Linked DNA regions of Tamandua tetradactyla. The protein of the gene in region 1 interacts with the protein of each later gene in a pairwise test. Links are inferred from orthologs where the notes say so. Each region holds a gene or a part of one and is shown in the gene's direction. Other genes may lie near its edges.

The links. The genes of interacting proteins can lie anywhere in the genome.
Region 2: the proteins of NFYC (region 1) and DR1 interact in binary tests that used the Homo sapiens proteins (3 or more experiments, as listed by UniProt). The link is inferred for Tamandua tetradactyla from reciprocal best matches to the Homo sapiens genes NFYC and DR1.

What each region holds. Positions count from the first base shown.
Region 1 is NC_135328.1:184,322,407-184,329,252, reverse strand, and holds the start of NFYC (nuclear transcription factor Y subunit gamma), read left to right. Parts: upstream 1-3,831; 5' UTR 3,832-5,001; coding exon 5,002-5,170; intron 5,171-5,223; exon of another isoform or gene 5,224-5,307; intron 5,308-5,327; exon of another isoform or gene 5,328-5,576; intron 5,577-6,846. UniProt on the Homo sapiens protein: Component of the sequence-specific heterotrimeric transcription factor (NF-Y) which specifically recognizes a 5'-CCAAT-3' box motif found in the promoters of its target genes.
Region 2 is NC_135337.1:30,527,761-30,535,576, reverse strand, and holds the start of DR1 (protein Dr1), read left to right. Parts: upstream 1-4,815; 5' UTR 4,816-5,629; coding exon 5,630-5,849; intron 5,850-7,816. UniProt on the Homo sapiens protein: The association of the DR1/DRAP1 heterodimer with TBP results in a functional repression of both activated and basal transcription of class II genes.

The sequences.
Region 1 (6,846 bases):
CACACTAATTAGCTACTGTCACTTCTATCTGTTCCCTTGTATTTAAGTTCAACCTCATTGAGTAACCTTCCCTGCGTCTCTAACTTCTGTATAATTCTAGGTTTGCTATATTCTACAGCATTAACTTCTGGGATTACCTTTACCGGAGTCATAGTAGGGAAATTATACAGTATCTGTCCTTTTATGTCTGATTTATTTCACTCACCATTATGTCCTCAAGTTTCGTCCACATTTTCATATGCTTTGAAACCTCATTTTGTCTTACTGCTGCATAATATTTCATCGTATGTATATATCACATTTTGTTTATCCACTTGTCTGTTGATAGGCACTTACATTGTTTCCATCTTTTGGCAATTGTGGATAGAACCACTATGAATATCGGTGTGCAAAATGTATATTAGTATAGGGTTCGATTCCTGGTGCCTGCCCATGCCAAAAAAAAAAACATCTGTTGGTGTCACTGCTTTCAAATCTTCTGGGTATATGCTGAGTATTGGTTTTGCTGGGTTATAGGGCAACTCATTGTTTAGTTTTCTGAGGAATTGCCAGACTGTTTTCCACAGCAGCTGCACCATTATATATTCCCACCAACAGTGAATAAGTGTTCCAATTTCTCCACATCCTCTCCAACATTTGTAGTTTTCTATTTGTCTAAAACAGCCATTCTTAACAGATGTGAGGCGATATTTCATTGTCGTCTTGGTTTAGCATTTTCCTTATAGCTAATGAAAATAAGTATCTCTTCACGTGCTATTTAGCCATTTGTATTTGCTCTTCTGAAAAGTGTCTGTTCATGTCCTCTGCCCATTTTATAATTGTTTTTGTTGTTGTTTTGTTGAGTTGTATAATTTCTTTATGTACACAGGGTATCAATCCTTTTTGTGTTATGTGGTTTCCACATATTTTCTCCCATTGAGTTGGCTACCTCCTCAACTTTTAAACTTGAAGATGGATTCAATTTGGGAAATAGCTCTTCAGCTAAATAGTTGTTCAGTACCAAGTTAGGTGAAATATATGGGTCAAAAATTGCAATCTCTTAGCCCTCACTTTTCTCTCATCTGCTTATAATTATTTTAAAAAATTGTACCAAAGGTTAGAATGGAAAGATTTCATATTTTGAGAATCTAGCTTTTGCTTCTTTTGAAGAATCTGAAACTCTTACTGCTGTGGGCGAGCATTATTACATGGCCATTGTCGATTGAAGCTGAGTAGTGACTGCCGCTTTAGATTGCACATGCACTCTCCAGCTTTCCTCAGTCCAGACTATTCCCTGTTATTTCCTTAACATTGATGCTGAGATAAGGTGTCATTTGTTTGTGCTGAGCACTGGAGATATGGAGATAAATAAGACACAATTGTTGCTTTCAAGAAACCCTTCTTAGTAGTAGACATGTTAAAAAGTAATCATATATGCTAAAAGTGAAATAAGCCAGACACAAAAAGCTAAATCTTGTTTCATTCACTTATAATAAAATATCTAAAATAAGTAATTCATAGAGACAAAGGAGATTAGAGGTTACCAGGGGCTAGGGGAAGGGGTTATGGTGAAATGGAGAGTTATTTAACAGGCACAGAGCTACTGTTTTGATAATTTAAGGTGATGATGATAACACAACATTGTGAATGTAATTAATACCCCTGAACTTTTTAAATGGCAACACTTAAAATGGTTAAAATAGCAAATTTTTTGCCATAAAGATTATGCCAATAAAAATTAATTATATGTGCTATAGCAAGTGCATATTTAAATACTAATTGAATACCTACCACATGCCAGTTATGCTCAGTATTTTCACTTATGTCAGTTAAACCCCAGACTCCTGTGAGTTGGTGTTACTTATTTTTTTTCATTTTACGCATAAAGAAACAAGCTCAGAGATGGTTAAGTAACTTGACCAAGACATACAGCTAGTGAGAAGGTAGCTATGATTCAGAGTTGGTCTTCTAATGAAGAGCATTGTTTCTCACCCTGCCTTCTTTGAGAGCACTGAAACTTGAACCACACAACCAGAGTCATGGATTTTGTGATCTTGGTGTTTTTTAGGATGAGAAGATGCAGTTGTCTGGTATAAAGGGCTGTTGAGATTCAGGACCAGAGAGTAATGTGAGTTGAAATCTCAGAGATCCCACATAGTCCATAGTAGTGACAAGCTAGAGAAGAGAAAGCTATAATAAGTGAATTGGTCTGGCGGCCATATGGAAATTCAAGGATAATTTGAGTTCTCTTCCTTTCCACTTGTAACTTGAATGTAAGGTGACTGTTGATAAGATATAGGCGTTGAAGTGTTTTTCCTGCAAACAGCCAAGAACTATAAAAACTATGCTGAAGACCTTCACAAAGTATGAAGGGACAAGATTGGTTTAATCTGGTACATCAAAAGTGAAGTTGAAGGGCAGACTTCTGGAGTAATAACCAGACCTCAGCTGGGATTGGTGTGAAAAGCATGGCTATCCATCATAGAAACTGGGGGTGATTTTTTAGTAGCAGCTGATAGTCCTCCCACAGGCCTTTTATGGCTGTGGAGTTGCTGTCTGGCTGCAGAATATGTTAAAGATAGAAGAGACTTTCTCTTAGAGTGGCTTCAGGGTCTTGAGCAGGTTTTGCCCCTCTCTGAGCCTTAACCCCTCTGTAAAACTTCAAGAAGTTGAAGTGGATGACTTTAAGAATTTTGTGTTTATTTGATACTTACGTAGGCTCAGAACATTGTGCTTTATAAACTTTAGTTCATTTATTCCTTATAGTGGCTTTGTGATACAGGTGGTGATATCCATATTTTACAGATGAGGAAACTGAGGCTCAGGGTCAGTCAGGTCATACAGTTAATTGCAGGAGCCAACCTAGCTCTACCTGATTCCCAAGTGCTTAGTTGCTTTGCCATACTGCTACTAATTACTAATCCAGTGATGTGAACATGTTCTCCCTATTCTTCTGGGCTTATTGGCTTTCTGCCTTCTGTTTCGAGGTAGATAGCTATGCAGAATTTGTCGTCTAAACATTTGAGAAAAGAACTACAATATCTGTAATTCTCGGTAACCTCAGGCACATATATCCCCTCCCTTTAACATGTTCAAACTCTTATTTAGATGCCATAGTGAAATTGTCACAGAATCCCTTAGTATTTCAATGTATATTGCTTTTAATATTTTATTTGGTAGCAGTCTCAAATCCCTGTAAATTATAAATGTTAATTTGTTAACTGGTTTAAATGTTCTTAATTAGTAATAAAATTTATATCAATTTATGAGGTGCTATTTTGGTTAGATATTTAGCTAGGTCTCTTACTAACAGATCAAACTCAACAGTAGTCGAGTTTCTAATTTTTAAATGAATGAAGTTGGGTAATGGTTTTATGCAAACTGTATAATATGATACACCTAAGAATTTCCTTGGATGTGCTTACCATGTTTTGGAAAGCAGTGTGATACAGGGGAAAGAGAACCATCCTAGGTGGGAACTGAATTTGCATTCTTTATATATGGCTAGGGGCCAATTGTTAACTCCTTTGACCCTCACTCTTTGACACGTTTGAGGGAATTGCAAGTGAGGATTGGAGGAATAATGATACCTGGCACTTAGTTCAGAAATTATTTAATCTCATTGTAGGAAATGAGTGAATTATGTTTGGAGAAGTTAAACCTTCGTCCTATTTCAGGGCCCTGCTGGATCTCTGCATATGTCCAGAATGACCTCTTATTTAAGGTCATCCAAGGAATGTCTAGAAAAGATCTTAATCTACCTATTAGGTGCAGATTTGAGGAGATTGTTAAAGGCCTCAGGTTGTGGCGAGATGTTTTTATGGTGAGATGTTTTCATTTGAATATTTGTAAAAAAAAAAAAAAAGAGATATATACATTTATTTTCACCAGAGGAAGAGATTCTGCTTAAAACCTAACCTGTTGGGCTTGAATTCCACAAGCAAATCTTTGTGCAGCACTCTGAATGTCTTCAGTAACCACAGTGGGTCAAATAAGAATATGCCTCCTGAGATCAGCCCTGCTGCATATTCATAAAAATGTGATAGAAAAAGTTTTATTCTCTATAATATAAAAACTCTTATCATGTTAAGAGCTAATCAGCAGCATTTCGTGACCAGCCTTTTGTGGTTCATATTGTGACTATAATGTACTAATTTAACAATGTATTTGCTGATGGTATATTTTCTTTGCCAATTTTTTCCCATGTGTTTCTCTCACTGGGTTCTTGGTTGACATTTTATAAATACCATTATTCCTGTTACTAACTTCATACATTACCCCCAGAGATTTACTGTTTAGATTAGTTTGTGTTTCAAAATAAAGTGCTTTGCCTTGGTATTAACCTAATCAGTGTTTTAAAAATTAACATAGACATAATAGCAGATGCCTTTTTAGAAGTCCTGCAGAGTATTATGTAGCAATGGGTTATCACTCTTTGTTATTTTAAAGAAGCTGCATTTTCTTGAGTCATTAGATTAGCACTACCCAGTTTTCTTTTTCTTCTGTTAATGCTCAGCAGATAACTGAAGATAGTTAAGTTACAACTTTCCAACCTTGTGCACATTGTTTCTCTGGTTCACTGCTATAGTTTACTGTAGCAGTATCTTATAGACATCTTTGATGGCCAATCAGAAACAGTTAAATTACCTTAAATTTTTTTTAAATGGAACTCTAACAACCAATAAGAAACCTCTTGGGTGGGAACTGTAACGACCTTTACATGTGATTTTAAGAACAATTCTAAATTTGCAGTATCCTCTGTTTTGAAAACATGTGAGGCCCTAGTGCATCTACTATGTGCATTTGCCTGGCTTTTCCAAGCCTCACGTTCCTGGTAGTTTGAAGTCTGAATCTGACCCCTGTTCTGCTTCTCAAGGTAACTTTAAAACAGGAAGTGTACAAAGGAGGTAACTGATGACGTGAACAGCCAATCATGGCTTTGTGTTTTTAGCCAATAAAGCAGGTCAGCCAATGGGGACACTATGGAGGCGAGGTTTGGTGTCAAATAGCATGCTAGATTGAATGCCTTTGACTGTTAAAGTGGAAGGAGGCTGCAGGGCTTCATTGGAGCCTCGGAGTTTTTCACTGAGGCAGGGGTCAGCTGAAAGACAAAGAAAAATGGCGAATAGTTTGTTGGGGGGTGGAGGGACAGCTGTTCGGTTTTTCACTGGAGTGGACATTCCAGACTCAGGTTTCTGCATCTCCTGCTGCCTTTTGTTTCCTCCGTCCTTTTTTGGGGGGGGGGGGGGGGGTTGGGATAGGAGTGACTTAAATTCTCCCTGTCCGAGGAGATATAAATAACTACATGTAAAATTAATGCAGTTCCCGGTAAGTTTAATTTTTTGTTTTGTGTTGAAATGATAGAAACTGTTTAGCTTCAGAGAGTGTAGACAAGTTGCACTGTTTCAGAAAATGGCCACTTTACATTCCATGCATACCTTTTGGTGCACCTACAGTACCTTGCTCTGTTTAGATTTTTGCATGCCCTTCAACTAGAATTTCTTTTCCTAGTGAGTACCAACAAGATCAGGTACATGAAGAAAGGCTTCTCATTTTTCAGGGGCACACAGAAGCAGAGCACTTTTTCTTTGCATTAGGTAAACTTAACTGTTTTCCAAATAATTTTCCTTTGTTCAAGTGCACTGAAGCTTTCCTACAGAATAAGCTAAGCTGTTGTGAGAGTTTTTCTATTTCCTTGCACTTTGCTGACATCTGTGTTTTCAGGGGTGGAAGCAATACCTTTGCTGTTCTGAATTTGTGTAAAAATATGATTTGCGCTGATGCAGGTTCTAATGGTGAAGGCCCAGATGCCAGTGTGAAATTCTCCCATAACTTTTTTGATTTACCTCCCTGCTTCCAGATTTTAATAAGTAGTAATTAATTTGGTGACAACCTTTCGTTTTAAAATGCACATAAAAGCTTAGAATGCTGGACAGAAACATACTGGTTGACTATATTGGCAGTGACCAGAGTAAATCTTTTTCCACCAATTTCAACATTTTGTCAGCTGCTGATTTGGGTCTTTAAAATGTTGTGAACAAAATGCTTTTCGTTTTCTGTATGACATATTTAAAATTCTAATTTACCTGCAGTTTGTGAATAAGAAAGTTAAGAGTACGGGTACCCTACATATTGCCCTTGGTGATTTTTTTTTTTCCTCTTTTGGGATATGAAGTTAAGTGGGTTGCTTATCAATTACCAGACAGTTCTTGGGAATAGTGGAGTCTTCCATCCCGTGTTTTAAGATCTATACAACATTTGATAAATAAAAGCAGTCTTTTGTTTTCTTTTTATTTGCAAATATGGAATGAAGGTCATTGGAACATTTCTGCAGCAGACTGTGGAGCAGTAAGCCAGCAGCACTCAGTGTCTGGGTAGGGAAAAGGAGCAGGCCCTATTAGAGAAGTTTGGAGGATGTTGATTTCCCTTCCTCTTGCTTCCCCTTGAATTAGAGATTTACCTGAGAAGATCAATAGGGGTTTATATTTTGAGCTTTTGGAACTGAAATGGTGTAGCAGTCAAAGTTGGTAGATGCAGGCCTCTGTCGTTGCTCACAAAAGTGACCTTGAAAAACTGCTGAGGAGTTGAAATATTGAAGGACAAAGTTTGTTTTTACAGATTGAACTGGAAAGCTCTCTCTCAGATGAAAAGAGACTGTACTTTTGATGGTCAGGTCTAGTGATTAGTAGAAATATAAATTCAAATTAGGAGTTTTCAAGCAATAAGGCAATAGGACAGCATTCTCTCTCCCTCTCTTCTCCATTCCCTCCTCCAGCAAAAAAATTCCAAATCTTTTTAGGATGATAATTGAGTGAACTGCCTAACAGACTCAGAACTCCTTGTGCACTACCTCGTCTTTGTAATCTA
Region 2 (7,816 bases), on another chromosome or scaffold:
CTACCTCTTCTTAGCAATCATTCCCTGCCCCACCCCCACCCCCATAATTATTTAGGAGTGGCTCTCCCCTGTCTCACTGAGATGGAGTCAGGAGCTGCTGAATCATATAAATTGTTTCCAAATGACTTCGATTTGTTTTCTCTCATTCTTACTCCACACCTTTGTTCAGGTCTACATTATTATTGGCTTTGTAATAGCCTAATAACTAATCTCCTTGTCTTTCCCCATTCCCATTCATCCACATGTTATCCCAGACTAATCTTTTTAAACATTTTTATTGTCATCCTCCTTCCCAAAAATGTGCACTAGCTCTTCCCATTGCCTACAGAAGAAACTCCACATTCCTTAATATAATGTTGGAAAGAGCTTAGGCTTTGGAGTACGAAAGCTTGGGTTGCATTCCCAATCTGTCATTTACTTCTGACCTTGAATAAACTCACTAAATATTGATTCTCTGATCTATAAAATGGTAATGCTAACTAGTTACAAACAGTAAATTCATGTAAAAGTGCTCTGTATTTTTAAAGTGTTATAATGAATGTAACTTTTTCTCTCTTGCTAAAATTTAGAGATAGTTACTACACTGAAAAAAAATAGCCTCAGCTTTGGACTTGAAAAACAAAACAAACAAAACAACCAGATCTCATATTCCAGTTCCATCACTTATTATGTGTGAAACTTTGAACAAATTAGTCAACTTCTCTGAAATTGTTTCTCCACCATCAAAACATCTGTTTTGTAGAGGTATAGGAGAAATGAAATGAAATTTTGACTATGGACATTTCTAGCACAGTTTGTCATTCATAATAGCACTGATTTATTTTTTGTCCTAATTTACCTTTTCAGCATCTGATACCACTATAACGGTTCACGATCTATAAACAGAGCCACTCTAAGCAATACTTTTGTGTTTTTTCTTCAGCTGTATGCCCTTTTCTTCTATATCAAATTCTACTCCATTTTGAAGTCTCAGTTAAAATGTTGAGTCCTGCATATAGCCTTATGTAACTCACACTGTGTCAATCACCATTTCCTCTGCAAATCTTTAGCTTTTTTCTTTATAGCATTTAGTTTCAAGCTGGTTTATAGTCTGCTTTCCCTGAAAACAAGTAGAGTGTTGTGTTTATCTTATTTCTCCCTTACCATAGTTAGGATAGTAGAACTCAGTTATCGAATGAATATAGGAATCAGAGGCTGCCTATCTTCTTCCCATTGCCTAAAGGACATCCCTCCCTTAAATGCCTATTGTTGCTTCAAACCCAAACACGTACAAAAGGAGGCATGTTGTCTCCTCTAAACTGCTTCCTTTCAACTTGGCCGTTTTTGTCAGTGACACTACCCTAATCCTTAATTCCAGTCTCTGAGGCTAAAACTTTATAATTTTGTTTGACTAATCTGTTTCTTTCACTAAGGAAGAACCAAATTTGCAGGTTCTTCCATCTTTTTCTGTGAACTGGTTTTTTGTTTCACTCTATTATTCCTATGACTAATAATTATCAGTGTAATGATTATTTTTAACAACCACCATCATTTATTGAGCATTTAAGTTCTCAGTTACTTTGTATACATTATGTCATTTGATCTTTGAAACAACCCTGTGAAGCAGGTATTCTTATTCTTATTTTATAGGTGAGAAAAATCAAGACACAGACTAAATACTCTGCCCAAGGTTACATAGCTGGTTAAATGGTAGCTTAAATACAAATCTAAGGCTAAAGTCCTTGAATAAGTTGGTCTCTTTCAAGTTGCAGAAAACAAAACAGTGTTTAAGAAGGGTATTAAATTATAAAGACACACAGGAAATAAAGAAGCAAAGGAAACTGTTTCATAGAGGCCTACTGATTCTTTCAAAAGTGCATACATCAATACTCTAGCATTCCACTATTTTGTTGGGATATATGACAGAGGCATTTGCTCCCCTATACTTGAGAAGACAGCTTTTGTTCTAGCTTCTGTTGCCCTTGTTACAACTGATTTAGCTTCTCACTCCTCTCCCTCTATTTCTGGTTTCTATTGCCTCACGATTTCTGCTGCCTTTTATCTTTGGCTTTCACACTTCTAATAAACAAAAATAATGCTTTGCTTCAATTAGGGCCATCTCCTCACTGTTGCCAGAATAATTTGTCTCCACAACTTCGAATTGTTACTTTAAACACAAATACTTTTTTCCTTTCTCTCTACCTATCGAAAATTTACATTTCAAGGCTCCTTCAATACTTCTTCCCAAATGTTTCAATGCATACTTGAGTGACTACTATGAGAAAAGTCCCCTTGCTGACCCTTCATGAACCCACAGCATGAGGAATAAATAAATCTGTTGGGATGTGGGAGCTATTCCAAACTCATTCTTTATGGCTAGTGTTACCTCGATACCAAAACCAGAGAAAGACCAATATATTTTATGATATATATGCAAAAATCCTCAACAAAACACTAGCAAACTGAATCCAGTAATATATAAAGAAAATTATATTCTTTGACTAAGTGAGATTTATCCCAGGGATACAAGGTTGGTTTTACACTTGAAAATCATTTTAATGTAATACATTATATCAACAAAATAAAAAGCAAAAATCACAGTCATCTGAAGAGATGCATAAAAAGCAAGTTATTTAGCCCCTCGGAGTTACTTTCTTTATCTGTAAAACTGGAATTTAAACAGTCCCTATCAAGTAAGATTGCTGTGAGAATTAAATGAGATAATATGGGTACAAGTATTTAGCACAGTGCTAAGCACAAAAGAAGTATGTTATGCTTCAAATTACAAATATTACGGATCTACCATTGTCACTAATTTTAGCTGAAGACCTGGGCATCTAAGAAATAACACATTTTAAGATAACTATTTAAATCATCATAAAAAAATAATGCATTATGCTATCATGTTTCTGTTCATATCATGAATTTGGTGATACCATAAAAAAAATGTCCCATTTATGTGCACTATCTCTTAAACTCTTAAAGCTTATTAAGGAGATGTTATCCTTGTTCTCAAAAGCCTATAAATATCCCTATAAGTAAATACTTAAATATGGAATCCAGAGCAGCATATTTCCTGACATACCACATTGCTATTTATATTTAATAAAATTTTCTCTCAGCATATTATATAGGGTTTCTTCCTGGTTGAAACTGCCCCTTAACCGAGACCTGATAAAAGTGACAGTAAACCCTAACATTTATATAATGCTTATTACATATAGCATATATAATATATGCTATAATATATAAAGTAAAAAGTATTTCCACATACAGTCATACTTGACTGGAATCCTGTGAATTATATATCTCATTTTTTCTTGAAGAATATGAGGCCAAGAAAGTGACCTACCTAAAGTAACAAAAAGGCCGAGACGAACCTAGATTTCTTCTCTACATATTCCACGTTCATTATGGCTGTAGTAACAAACTACTACTGAAATAACAACTTAAAATGCATGCTCTATTGATCTACATAACATACGTCTCTAAGTCTACACAGCATAAGTGTTATATGAAAAGGCACTATTTTCTTTTTTAGGAGAGACAAAATATGGGCCAGTGACAATGATATCTCTGGGGACTGATAAAATTAATAAGTCCATGGTTTGTAAGATTAATATAAGGCCAAATTTAGATGACATAACTCTTTAAACGAATAGCAAACTAAATTACAAAAACCGTTTCGGGAAAACGTTACCTCTGAGCCAACATTTTCACATTCCTACTTTGAATTTTAAAATATTGTTAAATCAAAAAAATTTTGTTTTGACTAAACTTACTAGAACTGAAAAACAAGTGTTCACACTTAAAAAATGAAGGAACAGGCAAGTGTCCAGGAAAAAATGCTAAACGAAGAAATGATAAACGTAAGATCCCTTAGAGGTGCCACATCTAGAGTTTTCAGACAGAAACAAAACGTTTTTAAAAATATTCCAAATAACCAGCCGCCGCGCAGTATATATAAAACAACGTATTTGATGCACTAAATCGCCAAAACTGATTTAAATAGTACCTCATTTACATTATAGAAATTGCAATATTCCACTATTTATAATGTAGTCTCTTCGTTCAAATGACAGTACAATAAATTTGGTTTCTAAAAATAACACATTTTTTGTGAAGAACTCGACACCTGTAGAGATAAGCAAATATCAGAGTTGCTTAAGATACTCTTAACATACATTTTTTTCCCTCCAGAAGCCAGCGTGCAATACATTATGAAAAACGGCTATGTTGGAACGATGACTCGTACGCTAAGCATTTCCACTACAGTGGGTCTGACTTCTAGTTTCCAGTTTAGCCTCAAGTTGTGACTAGCCAAGCCTCCTCTCTGAATATCTCCTTTCCCATAAAACGAGAAAGTGGGTGGAAGACCATACAGCGCTTTGATTCGACTAACAACTATCAGACATTTTCAAAAGCTTTCCCTCGCACGGTGCAGGTACATGATGTTCAATCTATCCCACCTCCTCATACCGAGCCCAGGCCCCGTTCCTTTCCCCTTCAAGCTCAAACACGTCTCCTTAAAGAAAAGTAGAGAGTTCTTTTAACGAAATCTACAGCTCCTTTGTTCCCAAAGACGGCTGCGGCAGCGTTTCGAGGCCGCAGAAGGTTGAGAGAAGGCAGAGGCGAAGAGACTGAGTTTCCTCTCGCCCACCCACTCCAATTCCTGTCCAGTGCCCAACCCCGAAGAAAGCGCGTGCGCAGGTTCCCCGGTACCGCGATACGCGCGCGCCTGCCCAGCAGCGGACCCCACGAAGGGGCAGGATGCCCGGGCGCGTGCAAGGCCCGCAAGAAGCGGAAGCTGCTGGCAGCGAGAACAGGCGGTTCCCGCCGGCGCTGGTGGGGGAAGGGCGGCAGCTACACCCGGAAGTCGGTATGGGAGAGAGGGGGAAGCTGGTGTGGGCAGAGGCTTCCGGTGGTGCAAAGGGTGTCGGGAGCGGCTCCCAGCAAGCCTTCCTTGGCGTCTAGAGGGGCCGCCGTCGCTGCAGCTTGGGCTTCCAAGATCTTCGTTCGGGCTAAACGGTCACGGCGGCCGCCACTGAGATCCCCCCGTTCCTGACTTTGTCCGTATTCTTGTCGAGGCAGCCGCCTCAATTTCAGCAGCGGCCTCGGCCGACATGTTGTGAAAGCGGCGCCGGTATCTGAAGGATGGTTTGGCAGAGGCGGCAGCAACGGCTGCTGGCGGCGGCGGGGGCTCAGGCTCTGTAGAGCCGAGCCCGCTGGGTGTCCGCCCTGTACCGCGGCGAGGCCAGTGCCCCTGGATCTTGCCTCTACTCCGGCGCCGTTGGCGGCCGGCTGGTTAAGCGACAGCGCTCGCCCCTCCGAGGAGACACGGAGGTGGTTCCCCAGCCGTTCAAATTTCCGGACCACGCCGAGCTTTCCTTTCCCCGGCCCGGGCAGTGCTGCCTGCAGAATCTTCAGCCCCCCGACTTTCCTCCCAACCTCGCCCTAAATCTCACATACTCTGGTGTTCCCAACCCTCTCAAGCCAGCTCCTCTCCTTCCCTTCCTGCTTTTTGAACCCTGTTCTCCAAGCGCCCCTCGGGGTTACTCTCCAGGGCGGCCTTTTGAGAAATTCCGTGAAGTAGTGTACCGGAGCCGGGGAGTTGTTTTTAAAGTCGGGGCGCGAGAAATAGGAAGGTACGATGGCTTCTTCATCTGGCAATGATGATGATCTCACTATACCTCGAGCTGCTATCAATAAGATGATCAAAGAGACTCTTCCCAGTGTCCGGGTGGCCAACGATGCCCGGGAGCTGGTGGTGAACTGCTGCACTGAATTCATTCACCTTATATCTTCTGAAGCCAATGAGATTTGCAACAAATCGGAAAAGAAGACCATTTCACCAGAGCATGTCATACAAGGTAAGTCGCATGTGTGAGATTTGATTTAAATGAGGGTGGGGGTGGGGCGTGCAGTCTGCTAGTTGCATGGCCGGTTCGTGTCAAAGCCTTCCAGTCCTCTTCACCGGTAAATGAAAAAGCCACCGGGATATGAAAGCAGCTTGTGCCTTATGAAAATCTTGTTGTCTTGCGGTACTTTTCATCCAGCGAATACACGTAAAGATTGCAAGCAATTAGGCCATTTTAAAAGCCCCAAAAGATAAAGTATTAATAGTGGTCTGAATTTACAACCAGATAAGCTGAAGCAGCAAGAACTGCCTGCCCAAAGTTGAACGTAGGAAAATAACCCAGTAATTTTACCTTGGAAAGTTAAAATTCAGCCAGAGGAACTTAAAACATGAGTTAAAAACAGAGCTCATCTTTCACCCTTGTAGAGGGAGAGATTGATATTCTGAACACATAAATTTAAAAAATTATTAACACGAATATGTTCAATATTGTAAAGCTTATTGGTGTTGAAAAAAGGAAGGACTTATGTTTTCAACTTTAAAAATTGTTTGATGGTCCTACATTCATTGTTACCAAAGTACTTCTTACCAAAGTAAGAAAAGTGAGTGCTTTTTAATTTTTCTTTTTGTGTATATGTTTGTTTTTATGTAGCTTGCTTTGTTCACTGGAGATAGGTTTGAATGTAACGAAAAGCTTGTTTTGAAAGGTTATAAGAGATTTTTTTCGTGAAACATTTCACCGTCATTTCCTGCTGCCATTCCCTTTTAGATGTATAGGCTTACACTTTCATTGAACAGCATTTGTGAAAGTTTTGGGTTTCTTCTCTTTTATCTTGGAAGGCATCTAGTCCAGTAATAGGAATTTAGGGGAGCATATTTTGATGGTTTTGGACATCAGGAGGCATAATGTCGTAATGTTTTGGCAGGCACTTTCTGTAATGTTTACATCGTACTTCTATGCACAAAGTTGTTTTCAATTTAAGGTAATAACTTGCCCTTTGTAATAATTTAATTTAAATTCTGACAATCTCTTGCTTGCTTTTGAAGTTGGGGGGAAAAAGCCATGATTAATTTTAATCATTTTGTTAGGCAGATAGTTACCTACCATTTCATTTTTATAACTTAATTTCTTTTAATTAGAAAAGTTGTAGGTTTATAGAAAACTCATGCATAAAATACAATTCCCATATACTACCTTATTGTTAGCATCTTGTATAACTTAACTTTAAAAGGCAACTTTTCTGCTATACTAAAGTAGAGTACACATCTGCACATGTTCACCATTTACATTATTTTACCATCAATATTGATAAAAAGGATTAAATGATTCATTTTTTATCGTTAATGGTGTATTGAAGGTTGATTTGAAATATATCCTGCAATTCAAGTCCATACAGAAAAAAATCCCTAGGAAGAAGCATATTTGATTCTTTTTTTTTTTTTCGTATTTGATTCTTAAAGCTAATAGTTTTAGGTTTTTTCCTACTGTTTTGGTGTGCTGAATAGTCTAGCAAGTAAAAATGAAAGCCAAATTATCTATATTTTTACATTTTATGTGTGATGCTTCCATACAGTCTTTCACAAGGTTTATCTAACACAACCATAATTTCCTTTTGCAGTTCATAAAAAAGAAAAAGGATACTTTATCAACATTGCCTTTCTAATGAAAATTGAAAACGATTTCAGCAGAATCTGCCTAAATATTTGTTTACACTACAGAAGTGGGGATCATTCCAAAAATCTAACACACATTATAATCTTTCTTAGGGAGTTTATTCTATTCTAGGATATATTTAGATTTCTGATTGACACATTGGAATAAAAAGGCAGCTGTAGCAAACTGTATGCTAAATAGTTCAATTTTGAAATATGCTAAATTCAGTTTAATGCATGAGTTGGAAAATTACAGTGAAAAAGCATTTTCCTTTTTGTACTGAAATTAATTTGTTAATTAAAAAAATGAAGTATTGACCTGTTTTA